Caenorhabditis elegans: one gene and its partners. The protein of the gene in region 1 interacts with the protein of each later gene in a pairwise test. Each region holds a gene or a part of one and is shown in the gene's direction. Other genes may lie near its edges.

Evidence for each region. Proteins that work in one complex are often made in the same cells at the same time.
Region 2: the proteins of ztf-8 (region 1) and F21A9.2 interact in a two-hybrid assay, tested with the Caenorhabditis elegans proteins (one large-scale study listed by BioGRID).
Region 3: the proteins of ztf-8 (region 1) and let-391 interact in a two-hybrid assay, tested with the Caenorhabditis elegans proteins (one large-scale study listed by BioGRID).

What each region holds. Positions count from the first base shown.
Region 1 is NC_003281.10:5,268,255-5,275,314, reverse strand, and holds ztf-8 (C2H2-type domain-containing protein), read left to right. Parts: upstream 1-1,843; 5' UTR 1,844-1,845; coding exon 1,846-1,925; intron 1,926-1,975; coding exon 1,976-2,075; intron 2,076-2,123; coding exon 2,124-2,410; intron 2,411-2,486; coding exon 2,487-2,794; intron 2,795-2,841; coding exon 2,842-2,924; intron 2,925-3,313; coding exon 3,314-3,514; intron 3,515-3,581; coding exon 3,582-3,725; intron 3,726-3,769; coding exon 3,770-3,844; intron 3,845-3,953; coding exon 3,954-4,270; intron 4,271-4,279; exon of another isoform or gene 4,280-4,303; coding exon of another isoform or gene 4,304-4,390; intron 4,391-4,441; coding exon of another isoform or gene 4,442-4,556; intron 4,557-4,599; coding exon of another isoform or gene 4,600-4,733; intron 4,734-4,880; coding exon of another isoform or gene 4,881-5,054; exon of another isoform or gene 5,055-5,076; intron 5,077-5,135; exon of another isoform or gene 5,136-5,189; intron 5,190-5,383; coding exon 5,384-5,548; intron 5,549-6,012; coding exon 6,013-6,316; 3' UTR 6,317-6,560; downstream 6,561-7,060. Other genes in the region: toc-1 (similar to Transporter Of divalent Cations), read right to left, coding at 1-26; Co-chaperone protein daf-41, read left to right, coding at 559-677, 812-1,161, 1,268-1,326; ZC395.4 (uncharacterized protein), read right to left, coding at 4,304-4,390, 4,442-4,556, 4,600-4,733, 4,881-5,054; ZC395.5 (Ovule protein), read right to left, coding at 6,820-6,965.
Region 2 is NC_003279.8:3,705,508-3,710,977, reverse strand, and holds F21A9.2 (C2H2-type domain-containing protein), read left to right. Parts: upstream 1-1,542; 5' UTR 1,543-1,757; coding exon 1,758-1,799; intron 1,800-2,196; coding exon 2,197-2,298; intron 2,299-2,486; coding exon 2,487-2,601; intron 2,602-2,759; coding exon 2,760-2,870; intron 2,871-2,916; coding exon 2,917-3,104; intron 3,105-3,150; coding exon 3,151-3,296; intron 3,297-4,185; coding exon 4,186-4,447; intron 4,448-4,620; coding exon 4,621-4,775; intron 4,776-4,823; coding exon 4,824-4,881; 3' UTR 4,882-4,948; downstream 4,949-5,470.
Region 3 is NC_003279.8:6,036,771-6,041,789, forward strand, and holds let-391 (C2H2-type domain-containing protein), read left to right. Parts: upstream 1-1,632; 5' UTR 1,633-1,660; coding exon 1,661-1,687; intron 1,688-1,766; coding exon 1,767-1,879; intron 1,880-1,924; coding exon 1,925-2,003; intron 2,004-2,053; coding exon 2,054-2,254; intron 2,255-2,348; coding exon 2,349-2,467; intron 2,468-2,771; coding exon 2,772-3,084; intron 3,085-3,495; coding exon 3,496-3,694; intron 3,695-3,894; coding exon 3,895-4,205; 3' UTR 4,206-4,497; downstream 4,498-5,019. Other genes in the region: C27A12.4 (C2H2-type domain-containing protein), read left to right, coding at 1-711; szy-5 (C2H2-type domain-containing protein), read left to right, coding at 4,904-5,019.

The sequences.
Region 1 (7,060 bases):
TTCTTCAGAAAATCCATTGCTTCCATATTTCCATCAAAAAATGTTCATTGAACGATTTAAAATTAAGCTGAAATGAGCCAAAACCTCGTAAATGGAGACGTGTTCGTTCAAAGGCGCGCGCACTTTCACCACTGGGTCTCGCCGCGATTTGGGAACTCTCTCGAATTATTTGAATTTCTGCCGTTTTATCATCTTCATTATGCGTTTCCATGGCAATTTTCCTGAAGAACATTCGCGACTTTATATTTCTAATCCATTTACGTTTATATTCAATGCCATTCGCACTTAAAATATATCGATTTTGGCCAATAGTCCTTGTATTTAGGAGAAAAAGGTTGTAAGAGAAAAATCAATCGAAAAAAGAAATTAAGTGGACAATTCTTGCTTGTTATTGCCGTGATATGAAAACATTTTCATCTGATGGCTTTATTTTCGTCAATTTGCATAATCATGCTAATTTCAACTGTGCGCTTATTTATATGTCGTGCACCTTCCTTGAATTTTATTGATTATTGTTCGTATCCGTCTAGTTCTCTTTTCGAATTACAGGCAAAAACCATGGCTAAGCAACCAACAGTTCTCTGGGCCCAGCGTGAATCACTTGTCTATCTGACCATCGAGGTTGATGAGGCGAAAATCGAGGAACTGAAAGGAGAGGGAAACAAGCTTCACTTCCAGTACGTTTCGGATTAATATTTCGATTTCTATTTTAAATGTTTAAATACGATATGAAGCATATTTCTTGCTTCCTAAATATTCACAGAATGTTCATGATGGTACATAGAATGAGTCGTAATTCGTAAATTTTCAGAGGAAGCAGCAAAACTGACAAGTACGAAGCAACTCTCGAATTCTTCGACGAAATCGATCCTGCATCCGTAAAGCACACTGGATCTTCAACCCGCGTCGTTGAGATCACAGTTCAGAAGAAGACCCCAGCCTGGTGGCCAAGACTTCTTCAAAACAAGGGAAAGGTCCATTGGTTGAAGGTTGACTTTGGAAAATGGAAGGATGAAGACGAGGATGATGAGGCTGAGGATGCCGGAGCCGGAATTGGCGGTGGAATGGCGAACGGATTCGATTTGAACCAGTACATGTCCCAGATGGGAGGAGCTGGCGGAGCAGACTTCGGAGGTCTTGAGGATGATGAGGAAGATGACGGTAAGTATTAAGTGCAATAATATCCTTTTTGCTTACTATTAGTAATTCGTTAATGATAGAAAACCAATGTAGTATTAAAATGTTATTTATTATAAAAAATTTTCAGATATGCCAGATCTCGAAGACAACGAAGAGGAGGAAGGAAAGAACGGAACGAGAGCTTAAGCAACTCCTCAAGTCCCAATTGTTTCATTAAAAATACAATTTGAATTTCTCTAATTTAATTCTTTATTCATTTTTCTCTATCCCGATTATTCCTCTTCCAGTTTGTGAACGCTTCACGTATCTCAGTCACAGAGTTTCATTTATTGTTTCCACTTTAAATATTTATTGAGTAAAGTGATATCACACCCATCTTCTTGCAGTGAACTTGTGAATTCTGACGGCTTAATTTTTATCCCGCATTCGTTTTTCTAATCAGTTTCCATGGGCAAGAACACAATTGGTAAGGCTCTGGTAATACTTTTCTAAAGTTGTTACTTTTTTTAAAATGTGAGCATACAAGGTATTTAATTTTGTCTTCTTTGTGGATCCACATGGAGAAAAAACTCCTGAAGACATAAATTTTACTCATTCAAGCTGGATAATATCATTCAAATCATATCATTCAAGTTAATACGCTTTTTCCGATCAATCATCTGAATCACAGCCAGAGATTAAATTATGAAATCGTATTTTTAAGATATGAACCAATTAGTGTGTCCATTGTGCTGCGAAACGCTGAAAGAGGAAGGCGCACACTTCTACAAACATTTTAAGTACAAGTGAGGATTTTAAATGTTATTTCTATTATTAAATTCATATATAATTTTAGGAGATATGCATGCGGAGAGAGCACATGTGATATGGGATTCTACACACAACAGGAGCTCAATGCTCATTGCTCGAAACACGGACACAAGCGCTCTTTTCAGGTTTTGAGACGATTTTCTACAATTAAAAATATTGTTTTTTTTCTTCAGAAGACAGTAAACCCATACATTGACAAAATGATATCGGTTGTTGTGGAAGACGCATACGCCCTAGCGACTGACGATATGGAAACTGTGCTTGAGAAGCGATGGGGAAGAGATCCGAGATCAGTGTCACCGACTTCACCTGTTAAAAAGACTCCTACTGATAGTGCAAAGAATAAAAGAAGTTCCGTCGTAACTCCAACATCTCCTCCAGTGCCAAAAAAGGCAAAATCGGGAACTTCTACGACTTCACCATTTGCATTTTTAAATAGAAGAACAAATAATTCTGAGAGGTATTTATTCACTAAATACAATTTTAACAATGCCTAGATTCCGACAAAGCCCTCGTTTTAAAAATGATATATTCAGCTCACTCTGCCCCAACGCCTCCTCAACATCAGCTCAGCCAGCTTCATCAAGTTCAGCTCAAGCTATAGTTGATTCAACAACCAGTGAACATAATATATCTATTGATAAAACAAAGAAACCGAGGAAGAAAAGAAACGAGTCAATGACAGCAGCTCAAAATCAAGAGAAAGCTGGAAAAAATGCAAATTACGATGAAATGTCAGCGATTGATAAACTAATTGGATGGTTTGATCCAAATGTTCCAGAGAGACGAGATGCTGCAAAAGTGAAATGTGCGGTTTGTAATGAAGAAATAGTTTATGATTTTAGTGAGTTTTTGAAATCTCTAAATTCGAATTTAGTTTTTATCTTACAGTTCTCCGAAAAGGACACGTGACTCGTTCCCACATGGCAGCTGATGTAGCACCAGAAGATTATGATGATTTGCTGAAAACTGCGGTATGTACAGGAAAACAAATTAAATTGAGAACAAGGCTGTGCAGCAAATCTACAAAAACAAATTTAAAAAAGGAATATGATATTTCATTTTGAGGCAAATCTGAATTCGAGAAGGAAAAAAAAAGAATTATTCTTATTTTTTTCGAAACAAAAAACGAAAAATCTACAGCCCTGACGGTGACTTTCCTGCACTTTTTGAGATAATTTTCGAGTTTTTTTCTCAAAAATAAATATCATATTCAGATCGAATGAACATTTCCCCCACACTGTTATATTAATTTTTAATTTGAATTAATTGATTATCATACTGAAATTATAAGTTTTGACCCTGTATCTACATTTATCCTAACTAGGTTGCAGTTTTTAAATTAAGAAAAAATGAGTTTCAGATGGATCGATCGTATCCAGATCTCCCAAATTCGGATCTTGCTTGTCAACTTTGCATGACTGGTGCTGAAGTTCGAAAAAATATGCGCCGAGAGCATATCGAGAAGCTGCACACGACGAGTCTTCCACCGCTAACATGTCCAGTTGGAGAATGTGAAAAAGGATTCAGAAGACAGTGTGATTTGAGTTCTCATATGAAAGATGTATAGTTTTATTTATTTAATTTATAATAAAGCTAGGAAATTGACAAAAAAAATCAAAGAATTCCAGACACACAAAGCGAGCATGGCAGTGTACAAAAATGCAACATTTCAACAAGTTCGTCGCCGTCGAAATGCTATGATAAACGAGATGATCAATAAATGCTTTCCGTGGTCTCGATTAGAAGCAATTGAGAATAAGACTGTAGTTGGGGTTTGTTGAATTATTAAAGTTTTCTGGGTAATTATGAGATTCAGGAGAAGTCGGATTCTGTTAACCGCGCTCCTGTCGATCGCTCGTTTGACACAGATGTTCGAGTGAGAGACGTTAACGTAAGTTTTTAGAAAAATTATCTACGGGAGTCATCACGACCAAGAGTGACATCCAAATTTTTTTTTAATTGAAATTTAATTTTTCAATTCTTACAAAACACATTTTCAGAAAACTCGCCGTGCTCCTCAATACAATGCGAACCGATCTTCGTCGTCCGATTCTGATTCAGAACATGAAGAAGCAGCGTCGGTGGCTACGGGAGAAGTTTCCGAAACTGGTGGAACCGATGATTTCCCGCAAGACGTCATATACATATGTCATCAATTCAATACGGAAGTTGCTCAAAAACTGTCGCAGATCGTCAGAATAAAGCCAGAGATCATTGATGTGGAAGACGTGCTTATGAATGATGTTACAATGGAAATAAATGAGATTCCAGTTAAAGAAGAAACAGAGGAAGAGCAACCGAAAGAGGAAAATAACAGGTAAAAATTGCATAGATTAAGCTTTATTCGTTTTTAAGTAGTTTTCTCGCTGCTTCCTGCAATCTTCTTTTCATCAACAGACAATTGTTGCGTTATCTCAAGTTTTCGAGTTTCCGTAGCCTGGGAAAATAAGAAAATATTTAGATTAGTCTAAAAATAAATACTCCTCACCTCTTTAGAGTTGCCCTTCAGTATTGCTTTCTCGAATTTCGGAAAATCGTCATCCAGCGTCACATACTCGGGATCTTTGCTTTCCTTCATTCCGGTCACAGTGCGTTTCGCGTCACTGTAATGAGAATGATTGGGAAATTAGTTATTATTGTGCTTACAGTTTTCTTGGTGGAGCTACAGATGGTCCATGTGACATTTCTGAAGCTTTTTCGGCAATCTTCTTGAGTTGAGACACCGCCTCGTTGTGTTCATCCTTTGCATCACGATCACTTTGCCTTGGTCCCTTGCTCTTCTGAAAAAAGTCATTTTCCAATAATAAATGCCTGAAAACTCTTGAGAATTGGCGAAACTAACTGAATTTTTTTTTAAATTTACGGTTTCGCCGCCAAACACCACTTTTATCTGCGCCCTTCTAATAATATTTCCATCCCTCTCTTACCTCCTTGGACGGAACTTTTGCCATTTTGCTTGCTCCCTTCTCTCCCGATTGAGCTGTTGTCGAATGTGAAATTGACTTCATTTCGGGATTAACACTTCCACCAGTACCAGGAGTCGATAGATTCTTCTTCGCCGATTTCATTTTCTTCTTCTGCTTACACTTTGTGACACACATTTTTGAACTACTACACACGTGCCTGGAAGTGTGCGGAAATTGTTCTTCAACGGAAACGATAGACGAAAAAAATAAACTCACTATTACAGTTCGATTTATTGAAAAATGATAATCGAACAGATGAGTGAAATGATTAAAAATAAGAACTGATGAAATTGAACCTTTTTGAATATTTCGTTTTGATGTTTTTTTCTTACGTAAATAGTTTAGATTAATATTTTTCTCCCGTAAGGTTACATATTAATTCCTTTTGAAAGTTTTTTGAAATTTTTTGAAAATTGCCCGTTTTTGGAAAGATTCAGTACTCCATATTATTTTATTATTTTCAGTACTCTACCATCAATTCCAATTCCATCAATCTTCTCACCATATGAGCCAATTGTTCCACCACCAGCTACATCTCCAGATCCAATGAATCCGCCAATTGCATCACTGCTTCCAACTCGAATTCTCAGTGCGACAAACGTTTTGGAGAATAAATATAATGAAAATGTGTGAGTTTTTACGAAATATCTGAAAATTAAAAAAAAACAACTTTTGATGTTTCCTATCAATTTTGCAAAATTAAAAAAAGATGGGCTAATTATTTTCAAATTCTCGCGTTAATGAATTGCCTAGTTTAACGTTTTCAGCTCGTTTTCCGCGAAAAAATTATTTATAACGGTGAAACTGTTTTTAAGTCAGTTTTGAAGTTTTAGTGAATTTATTTTGGCCTAAAAATTGAAAAACTCATCTTCATATTAAATATTTTTTATACTGAAAAACATTTGTTCAGCCAGGGAATTTAAAAATAATTAGCCCATCTTTAATTTAATTTAATTTTCATTTATATTTATTACGATAGTAAGATATGGAAAAAAAATCATTAAAAAATTATAAACGTTTTAATTTTTAAGCAGTTAAATTCAAAATCAGATCAGTTTTAACCATCATTACAATATATAATTTCTAATTTCAGTAGCTCAAGAAGATCGACATCACGTGAACGTTCTTCCAACAGAAACTACGATGAAAGATGGTCTCGAAATGACTACAGTAACCCTCGTAACTACAGCAATCGTTCATTCCATCAACGAAACCAACGGGGACATTCATCATCGAATCGTTTCAATTCTCCATTTGTTAGTCGAAATAACTACAACAACAATTCTGAAACAACTGAAGGATCTTCTCGTCGTTCCGAATATAATTCTTCGTCTTCCAATCATCATTCCCGTTCGTCATATCGTGGCAATCGAGATGATCGAGGCTCTCGATGGTAAAGCCGCCATCAATATTATATATGCATTTTCCTTCTAAAACCGTTCAATCTTCAAATATTTCCCTTAACCTTCCAGTATTCCAAATCAGCTTGTGCGAAATTTTAAGAAAATTTCTCGAAAAATCTAAATCTCCTTCGCTTTCAAACATCAAATTTAGTTTCTGTGTGTTAGTATATCCTAGCGTTTCATATCTAAGATAACAATTCTCAATTATCTCTTTTTAGTTAGCAATAAAATAATGCCATTGTTGTTTGACTTTAATTGTTGAATCTCTCGTTCTGTTTAAACGAATATTCCATGTGTGTTGTGTTTTATAATATTTTATTGCTTCTATCGTTCTCCAAAGTCTCGATTCAAAAATCCATGTTTCTAAATACGGAAGTGAAACTAAAACTGTTAAATCTAAAATTTTCGAATCAATATAAGTACATTTATTTACAGAAACAAAAAATTACAATTTCAACATATAAAATTACAAAAATCAACAAGAAAACGATATAATTTTAATACATTTCTTTTTCAAATGGATCATCAATCTTGACACTAAAATCCATTGATCGGTTCAAAAAATCGCGGAATTGTTCGATTAAACTGTCACGGCGACGACTTCCGATAGATTCCATGTGACAATCCATTGATGTATCAGATGCTGAAAATTTTTATAATATCAATAACTTTAGAGGGGAAAATTACCTGAAATATATTACCGAGACGCAAAACCTTACGATTTTTACACCAAACTAA
Region 2 (5,470 bases), on another chromosome or scaffold:
GTTACCTCATATTTTATAGTTTTATCACCGCTTTTCCTTTTTCCTACATTTCCTGAACCTTTTTTTGCTTTTCAGTGCCTCCTGCCACGTCATACATCTGCAATCAGCTGATGTTTTGCAATCAATCGGTGTCGTTTAGTTTTTTTAGTTGAAACTGATAAGAAACCCTATCAGCACATACTCCACTGATTCAATTCAACTGATATGATAATATCACACAGGCTCACTTTCTTTTTCCTCTTCCTCACATTTTCATCAGTAATAATACATTTTTATCACTTTTTTGAGTTTTAATTCGAAAAAAACCGGTGGCACTTTTGAATTTTTGACATTGCCACGTGGCGGCTTTTAGAGAGAACTGTGAGAATACATACTTTCAGTATTTTATTTTTTATAGTATGCACTATCCTGATTTTTCGTGAGTTTTTTTCTGAGAAAAAATTGGCACATGTTTTTGCGTTTCGGAAACTGTCGATAACTTGAATTTTGCATGAAAACCTTGATGGCCGAGATTTTCTCTCTCTCTCTCTCTCTCTCTCTCTCTCTTGGTCATGCAGTAAAACCGTCATGATTATTGTGCGGCCGCGGAAATGAAAGAAAAAACTCGGCCGCCGATTTGCTGCTACACGATCGTGCACGAACATCTTTTGAACTCTGCTTTGGGGTTTTTTCTCTTTCATTTAAAATAATTCCAATTGATATTATATTGATAAAAAAATAAACGCGTATTTAAGCGGAATGGCCTCGCTACGCGCAACCCATTGATTGAAAAAAAAAAACATTAATGAGTAACGCGTGGTGAGACCATTTCGCATAAATACGTGCGCCTTTGAAACCGTAGAAGAAGAAAATAAAGTTCGCTGTATAGCTATAGCGTGTATATAAGTGAATTGCACGGATAGGGCGCGAGAAGGGCGAAGAGAGAGAGAGAGAGAGAGAGAGAGAGAGAGAGAGAGAGAGGCGCCCCCGTCACGCCTCAACCTAGTGAAATGTCTACAGTCGACAACTGGGAACATCCCTACATGTATAGTTAAACTGAATCACAGATGATAAGAGATTGTGGTAACTGATTAAAGATAAAAATTGGGGTAGATAATGATCAGTAAGGAAGACGGCGATAATTGAGATATTCGGTAGGCAAAAGTCAATGTTATAATATTACTTTACTATATAGAGCTTTTAATTTTGAATCAGCCATCTATGAAAATATTCTAGAAACATCTATGTACCTTTAAACTGTTGAAGTGTAAGCACATTTAATACGCAAAAAAATAATTACCGTAGCTCAAATTATGCACTAAGGTAAAAGGCTTCAATCTGACAGTACTTTGGAGATTCTCATAAATAATTAATTTCAAAAACAAAGCAATATTCAGAAGTTTAAAACATTAGATTTTCTCTATTAAAATTTCATATTTTGCTCTTAAAGCACCTGCCAACTCAATGCATCACATTTCACGCGCAATGTTCACTACTCAACTTTTCCTCTCAAATCTCTACTAATCTAATATTCATTCCAACCGGAGATTCAATCTATTTCAGTTGTTCAGTCACTTCATCTGCTCTTCCCAATCTTCCTTTTGTCTTCTTCTTCTTCACCTTATCATCAAAATCTGTGTGACTCGGAGTGCCGGAGCACGCACAACTTGCTCTGCGCCCCGCGTTGTCCCTGAGATCTTATCGCTCACTCGAGCCCATCTTTCTTCGTCGGAAGCCTCTTCTTTCGTTTTCTCATTCGGCCACTTCATTTATATACAATGGATGTAAACCAATCGATTCTGCATAATACAATAGCTAGCGTGAGTTACAGTAGATTTTTTGATTTTTGCTTCAAACCCGGTCTCGACACTACAAATTTTTGTGAAATGCAAAAAGGTGTGCTCTTCTAATAAGTAATGTTATCTTGCACCTTTTTCTGACAACTTGTTGAAATTTGATTTGTTCTTATTTTTATTATCGGTTTTCTTATGAAAGGTGAAATTACAGTACAGTAAACTCAAAAGAATTAAGCGTTGCGAGACCCAAAACGCTACATTTGACAAACAAAAATATTGATTAATGAATAGGGAAATGATGATAAATATAAATTCAAAATTACAAAAATAACGCAAAAAAAATTAGAAAATTAAATTTACACATCGCGTAAAACTTTTTTTGTTGAATATTGAGGACTGAATTATCATCAAAAGTTTGCAGTCAATACGAAAACAAGTTATGACCGCACCAATCGAGTTTAGATGTGGCGATTGTGTTGGACCGTATTCTGTGAGCGGCAATGGACAACTGTTGAGGATTACTGTAAGTTAAAGCATATACTGTAAGTTATAGAAGTTGGCGCAATATCTGTAGATCAAAACTGGATTCTGACTACCGGTGGGTTCTCAAATTTGCGCGTAACTTTTGGCGCATTGAATTCTTCTGATTCGACAGACACAATACACCATATTCCCCGCACAAATGCACCGTAGAACCTCCTTAATTTCCAGCTCTCCAACTTCACCGGTGAATCGATGGGTTTCGAGATGGAATCGAATCCAGTGACGCGGAGAATTCAAGCAGCCCAAGGTCCACTTCTAGCTAATTGTGTCATTATGCAGACAGGTATGCGAGCCACACGACATGGCCTAGAAATTGAAAACTAGGCCACCCAAACGGATATTTTTGCACTCAAAGACAATTCATGTCCTGCCTAGCTTTCACTAATTAGTCCACCAAACGACTTTTTTGAAATTTCAACTTCACCTAGGCCAATGTTTCAGGTCCCGTGTTCACAATTCTTTTCACAAAAAATCTGACGACCGTGGAGCCACTTCGAGCCATTCTTGTCGCTGATATGAACTATCGTCTGGAGCAAGAAAAGTTGGAGAAAAGTGAGCTTTTTTGCTTTTCGAAAAGAACTGCATTTCGAAATTTCAGAACACGAATGTCCACACTGTCACGTGGCAAAATTCAACTCCCTTCACAATTTGAAAGTTCATGAAGATTTGTACTGTAGTAAGAAGAAACTCGGAAATGTAGTTGAAAATGCGGATTCTCGAAAACAACAAAATGTTATTTTGTTGCCAATGGCGTTTCATGACCTCTTTCAGCAGAATCCCTTTCAGGTAACTCAGTTTGAAAGCTAGTTGTTAATTTCAATTGAACTTTTAGGTAGTGGGTCCTGTTACTATTGGACGAAATTCGGCATTAATCAACTCAAATCCTTTGCTCATTCATAACAAGAGAAAATTGGAAATGCCAAACTTTTCAACTTCGAAACTCTCCGTGCAGATTCCTATTATCAATTTGGATGAGAAGTTGGTTTTTTCTTTTGCAACACAGTCTTATTATGCAAGCGCGCTCCACAGATAATTAAAAACGCTCCGCCCCGAAATGTGGGGTCCTGCACGTGGTGTCAAACAGTCTCATTGCACTTTGATCTACAAAAAATGCGGGAATTTTTTTCCGGAAAAAATGTGACGTCAGCATGCTCTTAATCATGCAAAATCAGATGAGATGTCTGCGTCTCTCCTCCCGCCATTTTTTGAAGATCAAAGCGAAATGGGACTTTCTGACTCCATGTGGTCCTGGTAGGAATTGACGGCAAAATCCAAACGTTTTCAACCATTTTTCGACTTTTTTGCTGTTTTTCATGATATGTATTCATGTCAAAATGATGTTTGAAGAATGCATTTTTATATCATCATTTTTGAAATTAAAAATAATTAAAACGACAGGCGACAAAACATAATAATTTAAATTGATAGTTTTGGCGCCGATACCTATCGAGACCCAACGTTTAGGGGCGGACCTTGATTTCAAAAGGAACATTTTTAACCTTTATATAACGGGAATACAAAACTCAGAATGCGACAAATGTGCGACAAATTTGACGCGAAAATATCTCGAAGCGAAAACTACTTTAATTGACTACTGTAGCGCTTGTGCCTATTTATGGGCTTGTTCGCATATATTTTTGAAAAGCGGCAGTGATATTCCATTCGTTTCTAATTTTTAATATTCTATTGATAAATAATTCATTTCGAAAAACGATCCCGTAAATCGACACAAGCGCTACAATAGTCATTTAAAGAACTACTGTAGTTTTGATATTTTGCGCGTCAAATATGTTGCGTAATACGCATTTTCAGAATTTCGTGTTCTCGTAATAAATGAAAATCTTTTTTATTTTATTTTTCTATTCAGGAATGTAAGAACTTCAACTCCTCTGGATTTATCCTCATCACCCCATGCACCAAGTGTTCCATCACTCTCAGCCAGTTGTTCTCCAACTTCAAAAAGCTCGAGCAGTGAGCCAATCTACCCGGAAAGACCATTCTCGTGCACTTGTGGAGTCTCGTTTTCGTCTCAGACCACGTATGACGCGCATAAGCAACTGTACTGTAGCCACACAACTCGTGTATCATCTCCAGGTGGTGGACCACACAGAAATGATTCTTTGAGAAAGGTGAGATACACTTTTATTTCTCAGTTTCTTCATTTCCCAGTTTATCAGTTTTCGTGATCTCTCCGAGCCTCTTTCTGATTGCAATCTTGAATTATGGCGAGCCAGTGAAAGAGAGCTTGTGCACAAGCTTGAGTTGAGAACGAAAAAAGAAAGAAAAAAAAGGAGATTTGTAGGTACCGGAGAAGTGTACAAAATGCGATTTTGTGCCGACATCGTCCTCGCAGCTATCTATGCACATTCGATCATCGCATCAGACAACGAAGACATTCACATGTTTGGTGTGCGGCTACCGAGCATTCAGTATGCGAGGGATTCGTACGCATATGAGGTTTGGGGGAACTTATAAGTAATAATCAAGTAAATCGATGTGTTTCAGATCTCATTCTGACGATGAAGCTTTGAAATTCAAAGCCAATGAGCCCGATGAAACATGAATGGATAAAAATATATTTTAAGAAATTAGACAATTTATTTTCAGCTCAATAAACGGGTTTTAATAATTGTTTTGTTGCCAATTTGAAACATACTTTCAAAGATATTATTGGGCAGCAGAAAATAGCGCGCCTCATAGTCAAGTGAAAAGCTCCGCCCTAAACGACGGGTCTCGTTAGGAATTGGCGGCCGGAAACCAGAAATTCAAATTATTTTCGCTGATTTCGCCGGTTTCAAGAGTTTTTAGACCTTTTTTGTAATTTTTTCTGTTTTTAAAAAATTATTTTTTAATGTCAAAAAGAACATATAAAACCGAATCAAACGAGCGTATTCATTTTTCAATTTCAGATACGTTTTTTTTTATATTTTTATATTTTTATACCACATAAAAATCACGAAAAAGAACAAAACAGTTGAATAATGTTCGAAAACGTTTGAATTTCTGGTTTTGCCGCCAATACCCAATGAGACCCAACGTTTGGGGGCGGATCGTTTTCATTTGGTGTTGAAACGCGTTTGCACCTCGTTTTCGATTTTTTAAAACTCCAATTCTCAGGCAACTCAAATCTAATATGAAAATATTAAATAGCA
Region 3 (5,019 bases), on another chromosome or scaffold:
CATAAGCATAGGACTTCCTCCAATTATGCCCACAACACTCGGAGGACTGGAGGAACTCCTGCTTATGATGATCTTCCGTGTTTCAATCAGATCTCGAGGAAGAAAACATCCTACAGCCACCAGGTTCCGGAAATCGATGTAGAGCTCAACAGTTCTTCCACATCAGCTCTTCCAATTAAAGAAGAGGTTACTACAAGGAGCCCTGCACCAAATATGGGTTTTTGCGAAGTACGCCAGCTCCCAAAAGACTCCAGAGGGCCTCAGAGAGATGGCTCCTCATCTCCTGATGTTCAGTTCATCAAGACTGTGACTATGTCACGGTTAGAGAATGTTGTTCCTACCAGCTCACGTGGAAAGGCGCCAGAAGATTCATCTGCACCAGCACGTCTAGGATTCCTCTCCGATCGTGCGGTCTCCGGGTCATCAATCCCAGCCGTCGAGGAAAGATCTGGAGAAGGCAGCTTCGACTTTACAGGTCCTTCCACTCCTCGCTTGGCCCAGCCAGCTTTTGGGAACTTTTTTGGGAATAGGGCGAGTTCTTCGTCTTTCGGTGCACCATTGTCAACTCTAGCTGTGGACAAGCTGATTCCGGAACCTCATCTCTCCGGAAGCAAAGCGGTCCCAGACCATCGTTTCGATTTCAAACATTTCAGACGTCTCCGAGCAGCGGGAGGAGGGCCCCTCAAGGCGATCGCCGATGTCTCCATCTAATCAACGGGGACGTGGAGCAGGACACCAGCCACGTAACAGGGAACATACACCGAAATCGCCATTGAGAAACCAGAGGGTGAGTAATTTGCAAAATGACCTAGTTTATTCCTCGATCATGCGAAAAAACCAACTAAATCTATCTGTAAATTTCACAGCGTGGTCGCCGAAGCCCCTCGACAGATGAGTGGACCCCCAGACGTTCAGAGCATCACCATCGTCGTGACTATAGAAGAAGAAAGCGGGATTATTCAAGAGATCGCTCACGCCATCACGGAGATCGTTATTAAATTCCATGTTGCATCTCAATTTCTTTTTCTTCGATTTCTCGAGTATTGAGCCTTTATTCACATTCCTTCTCGTATGTTCATAATAAATATTCTATCTACGTTAAAAGTAAAATATTCTATCTACGTAAATCTCCTTGTCTAACGCTCAATACACAACACAAAACATTCGCCTATTTCTTAGACTCGTAAAACTTCCTGATTTCCTTATGAATTTGCATGATCAACGTGCTGCTGTTTCACTATGAACATTTTCTACTCGTATGTTATCCGAACGGCTTTTATCAATTTAAAGATTAAACTCCAATATTTGAATGGAAATGAAGATGTGATGGCAATGATCTATTCATTACTTCTTCTTCTGTCTCGTTAAGAAACAAGATTTCAGCCGTTGCAAAGAATTATATTTATTAAACCCTCAATTCAAATTTCGCGCTCTTTCGAAGACGGGATATCGGAGTGTCGTTGTTTATTTTCAATTTTATTTTTTATTCGCAAAAAATCAATATTTGACTTTTTCTTCTATTTAAAACAGTTTTTGTTGAATTTTTCCTTTCATATAAATATTATTAATCTTTAAAATTTTTATGTTTATATGATTAAATCTTCCTTATTGCCATTAATTGTGTATTTTTCCAGATCCTAAAATTCGATAAACAACCAAAATGAAGAATAACGAGGATTTAGACGAAGTAGTACATTTATCGCAAGTAAAATAACTAATTTCAATTTAGTTTTCCAATTTTCATTAAGAAAATCAAAAATTTTCAGAATTCCGATGCAATTTTCGAGGAATGGGCAGCTGAGTGCACTCCCGACGCGCAAAAAGAGCACGAAGAGCTCGAGGAGATTGTCAAGATTCCAGATTCGACATACAGAAAAAAGTATGAAATTTTTGTGCTAAAAATTTATTAAATATAAAATTGAAGGAAAGGAAATCAAAAGTTGCCGACGGTGACGACGTGCGAAGTATGTGGAGTTGCGTTGAAATATCCATCGAGGATTATGGTACAGAATATTTTATTTTTATAACAAAATGAAGATTTTTATTTGTTCAGGAACACATGAGAACTCACACAGGCGAAAAACCATACGAATGTGACATTTGTGGAATGAGATTCACTCAAAGAACTCCAATGATTAACCATTTTCGTGTTCAACACATGGGTGATCTCCCATTTCTGTGTAATTTCGGTTGTGGCAAACGATTTGTGAATAATTCACGCAGAACTGCACACGAATTAAGCCATAATGGATTGGTAAGAAAAGTTTTTATGCTATAGAAAAATTTAAAACATCGAATCAAGCATTTATATCCTAAAAGATTACCGGAATAAGATATATTTTTTGCAGAAGCGAGCAGGACCGGCACGGCCTTATCTGAAACCAGTTAAAAAGATTGTTTGTCCATCAATGGATATGGATATACTTTCAAATTCTGCACTAGCTAATTATATATCACCACCAACGATGTAAGTATATGCAGAAGTGAACTAAACTTGATAAAATAAATAAAAATTACAACAAAAAACAAGAATTATAAGATTTTACATTTTTTAAAAAGTGAATTGCGGTGTTTAATCAGCAATCTTTAAAATTGAGATTTTAACACTTTTTGTTCTTTAACAAATTTTAAAACAACATTTAAAAAATCGGTGTTTTAATTAATAAAAAACTTTGATAATTTAAATAAAACTCCTGAAAATTTCTAAATTCGAAAACTTCCATCTTATTTCCGAATTGGTAAATTTAAAAGAAATTAAAATAACTTTGCAGAGACTCAATATTTCAAAGTGATCCATCAACTTCTTCCTCTTCACCTTCTCAATTTCAATCATCAAATCAAACAACAAAACAATCTATATATCCATCAGAAAAAGAAATGGAAAAAGCTGCAATATCTAATGCTCGAATTGATGACGTTATTAATACAGTATTGGCTCGAGTTTTGGCTCCGATTGATGAAGAAATTCCGATCGAAGAACCAGAAAAAGCTCCTCAGAAAAGAGCATATATTTCAAATCGAAGAGCAACACTTGCACAATGCAATATTTGTGGATTAATGCTTAAACATCCGAGCAAAATTGCTGTTAGTTTTTTTTTCGATAAAAAACGAATTTTGGTGAAAAATGAAAAATTAAAATTATTTCAGTGCCCACAAGCTGAATTTTTGCTGAAAAATTGAGAATTGGACAGAGAAACAATTTTTTCGATAAAAAGCATTCGAAACTTGATTTTCTGAGCAAACAGAAAAAAATATTTGTAATTAAAATTTTTTAAATCAAAGCTTATAGGTTTAAATGTGTTAAAAAACAAAATTTCCAATTTTCTCTCTATTTATAAACCTCTCAAGTTCTGAAATTTCTAGAAAAATATAATATGATTTATTATATCGAAAATTGTTGAATTTTCTAAACTTTGAAATCAAAAATTACAATTTTTAATAAAAAAAAGAAAGATAAATTTATTTTTAAATACAAATTTCTTTCCCATTTTTCAGGATCATATCCGAACACACACAGGCGAAAAACCATTTGAATGTGGAGAATGTGGCTTGTCATTGTCAAAAGCGAGCTCTTTAAAAGTACATATTCGTCGAATGCATACTGGAGAACGTCCATTTGAATGTACTTGGAGATGTGGATTGTCTTTTGTAACGGATTCTGTTAGAAAAGAACATGAAATGACTGTACACACTGGTAAATATTCAAAATATATTTTACTATCCGAAATTTGGGTTAAAACCGGGGGTAATTTAGAAAAAGAAAGCAATTTCCATTTTTTTTTGTTGCAAATTTTAGAATTTTCTCAAATTAAGAGTGTTATTGAAAATATGTTAACTCAAAAATATTTAAAAGAGTAGTCATCTACAAAAATTACAATTTTTGAAACATTCCAGGTATAAAACGTTACACATGCGTTGTAAAAGGATGTAATGCAGTATTTGCTCGTCGTGTATATCTCATGAGACATCGAAAAAATGCACATCCCGAGCTCTTCACACCAATTTTCGATCATGTTCAAGTGAATCACGAGGAATCACAGGATTCAGTTATTGTTTATGAAGATGATCATGAACAGAACAATCAGATTATAATGCTCACTGGTGATGGTGATGACGTCAAGATCTTGGCTCATTTTGAAGATGATGAAGAGGAATTTGTGGAGCAAGGAGGAAGCATGGAAGATCAAAAAACTGTTCATTTTTGACCAGAAACTTGAAAAAGCTCTTTCATTTTCCAATATCTAGGCAACTTATAGGGTAACTAGCATTTTCTACTTCATATATTCAGTTTTCTATTCCACCCAGCAATTAGTTTTTAAAATGGAAGAGTTATTCAAATTTCAAATTTCTAGGCCACTATTAAATTTTGCATTTTTTAACCATTTTTTTCATTCAAATTCTAGAAAAATTGTGAGAATTAATTCTCACAATTTTCAGTTTATTTTGGTTAACCTACGAGTTTCTTTTTGCTTCTTTTTTTAATAAAGATTTTTTTTCTCAGATTTTTCAAATTTTTTTTCTTTTCCGTATTCAGTATTTTTACTGTTTAATTATACTTGCTTTTTTTTTATTGTTTGCCAATATATTTTGAAACTTTCTCCTTTCGCAAAAATTGAAAAGATGAGATTTTGAAATTTTTTTTAACATTTTCAAACTTTCAGCAAGCTATTTTTGAGCAGTTCGAAAAAATGTAGCGGTACTTTTTTTTTGAGCCCAATTTTCTATAAAATGTTTTAAAAGGGTTTAGAATGTAAAAAACCAATTAATTGTTTTTTTCAAATTTCACAAAATCCAAAACAAATTTTTTTAGATATACCTTTTTTAATTTGCTAAAAACTTTCTAAAGGTCCAGGAAGGCCCATAAAAAATTAACGTCGAAAAATAAAAATCGATATTTTCAGAAATGGCAGAATCTTGTGTAAAACCTCAACTACCTCGTCCTCGAATTCCAAATATTAGAGTTTTTCAACCAACTACTCGAATTCCCACATTTACATATGAACAATTCAACGAATCCGT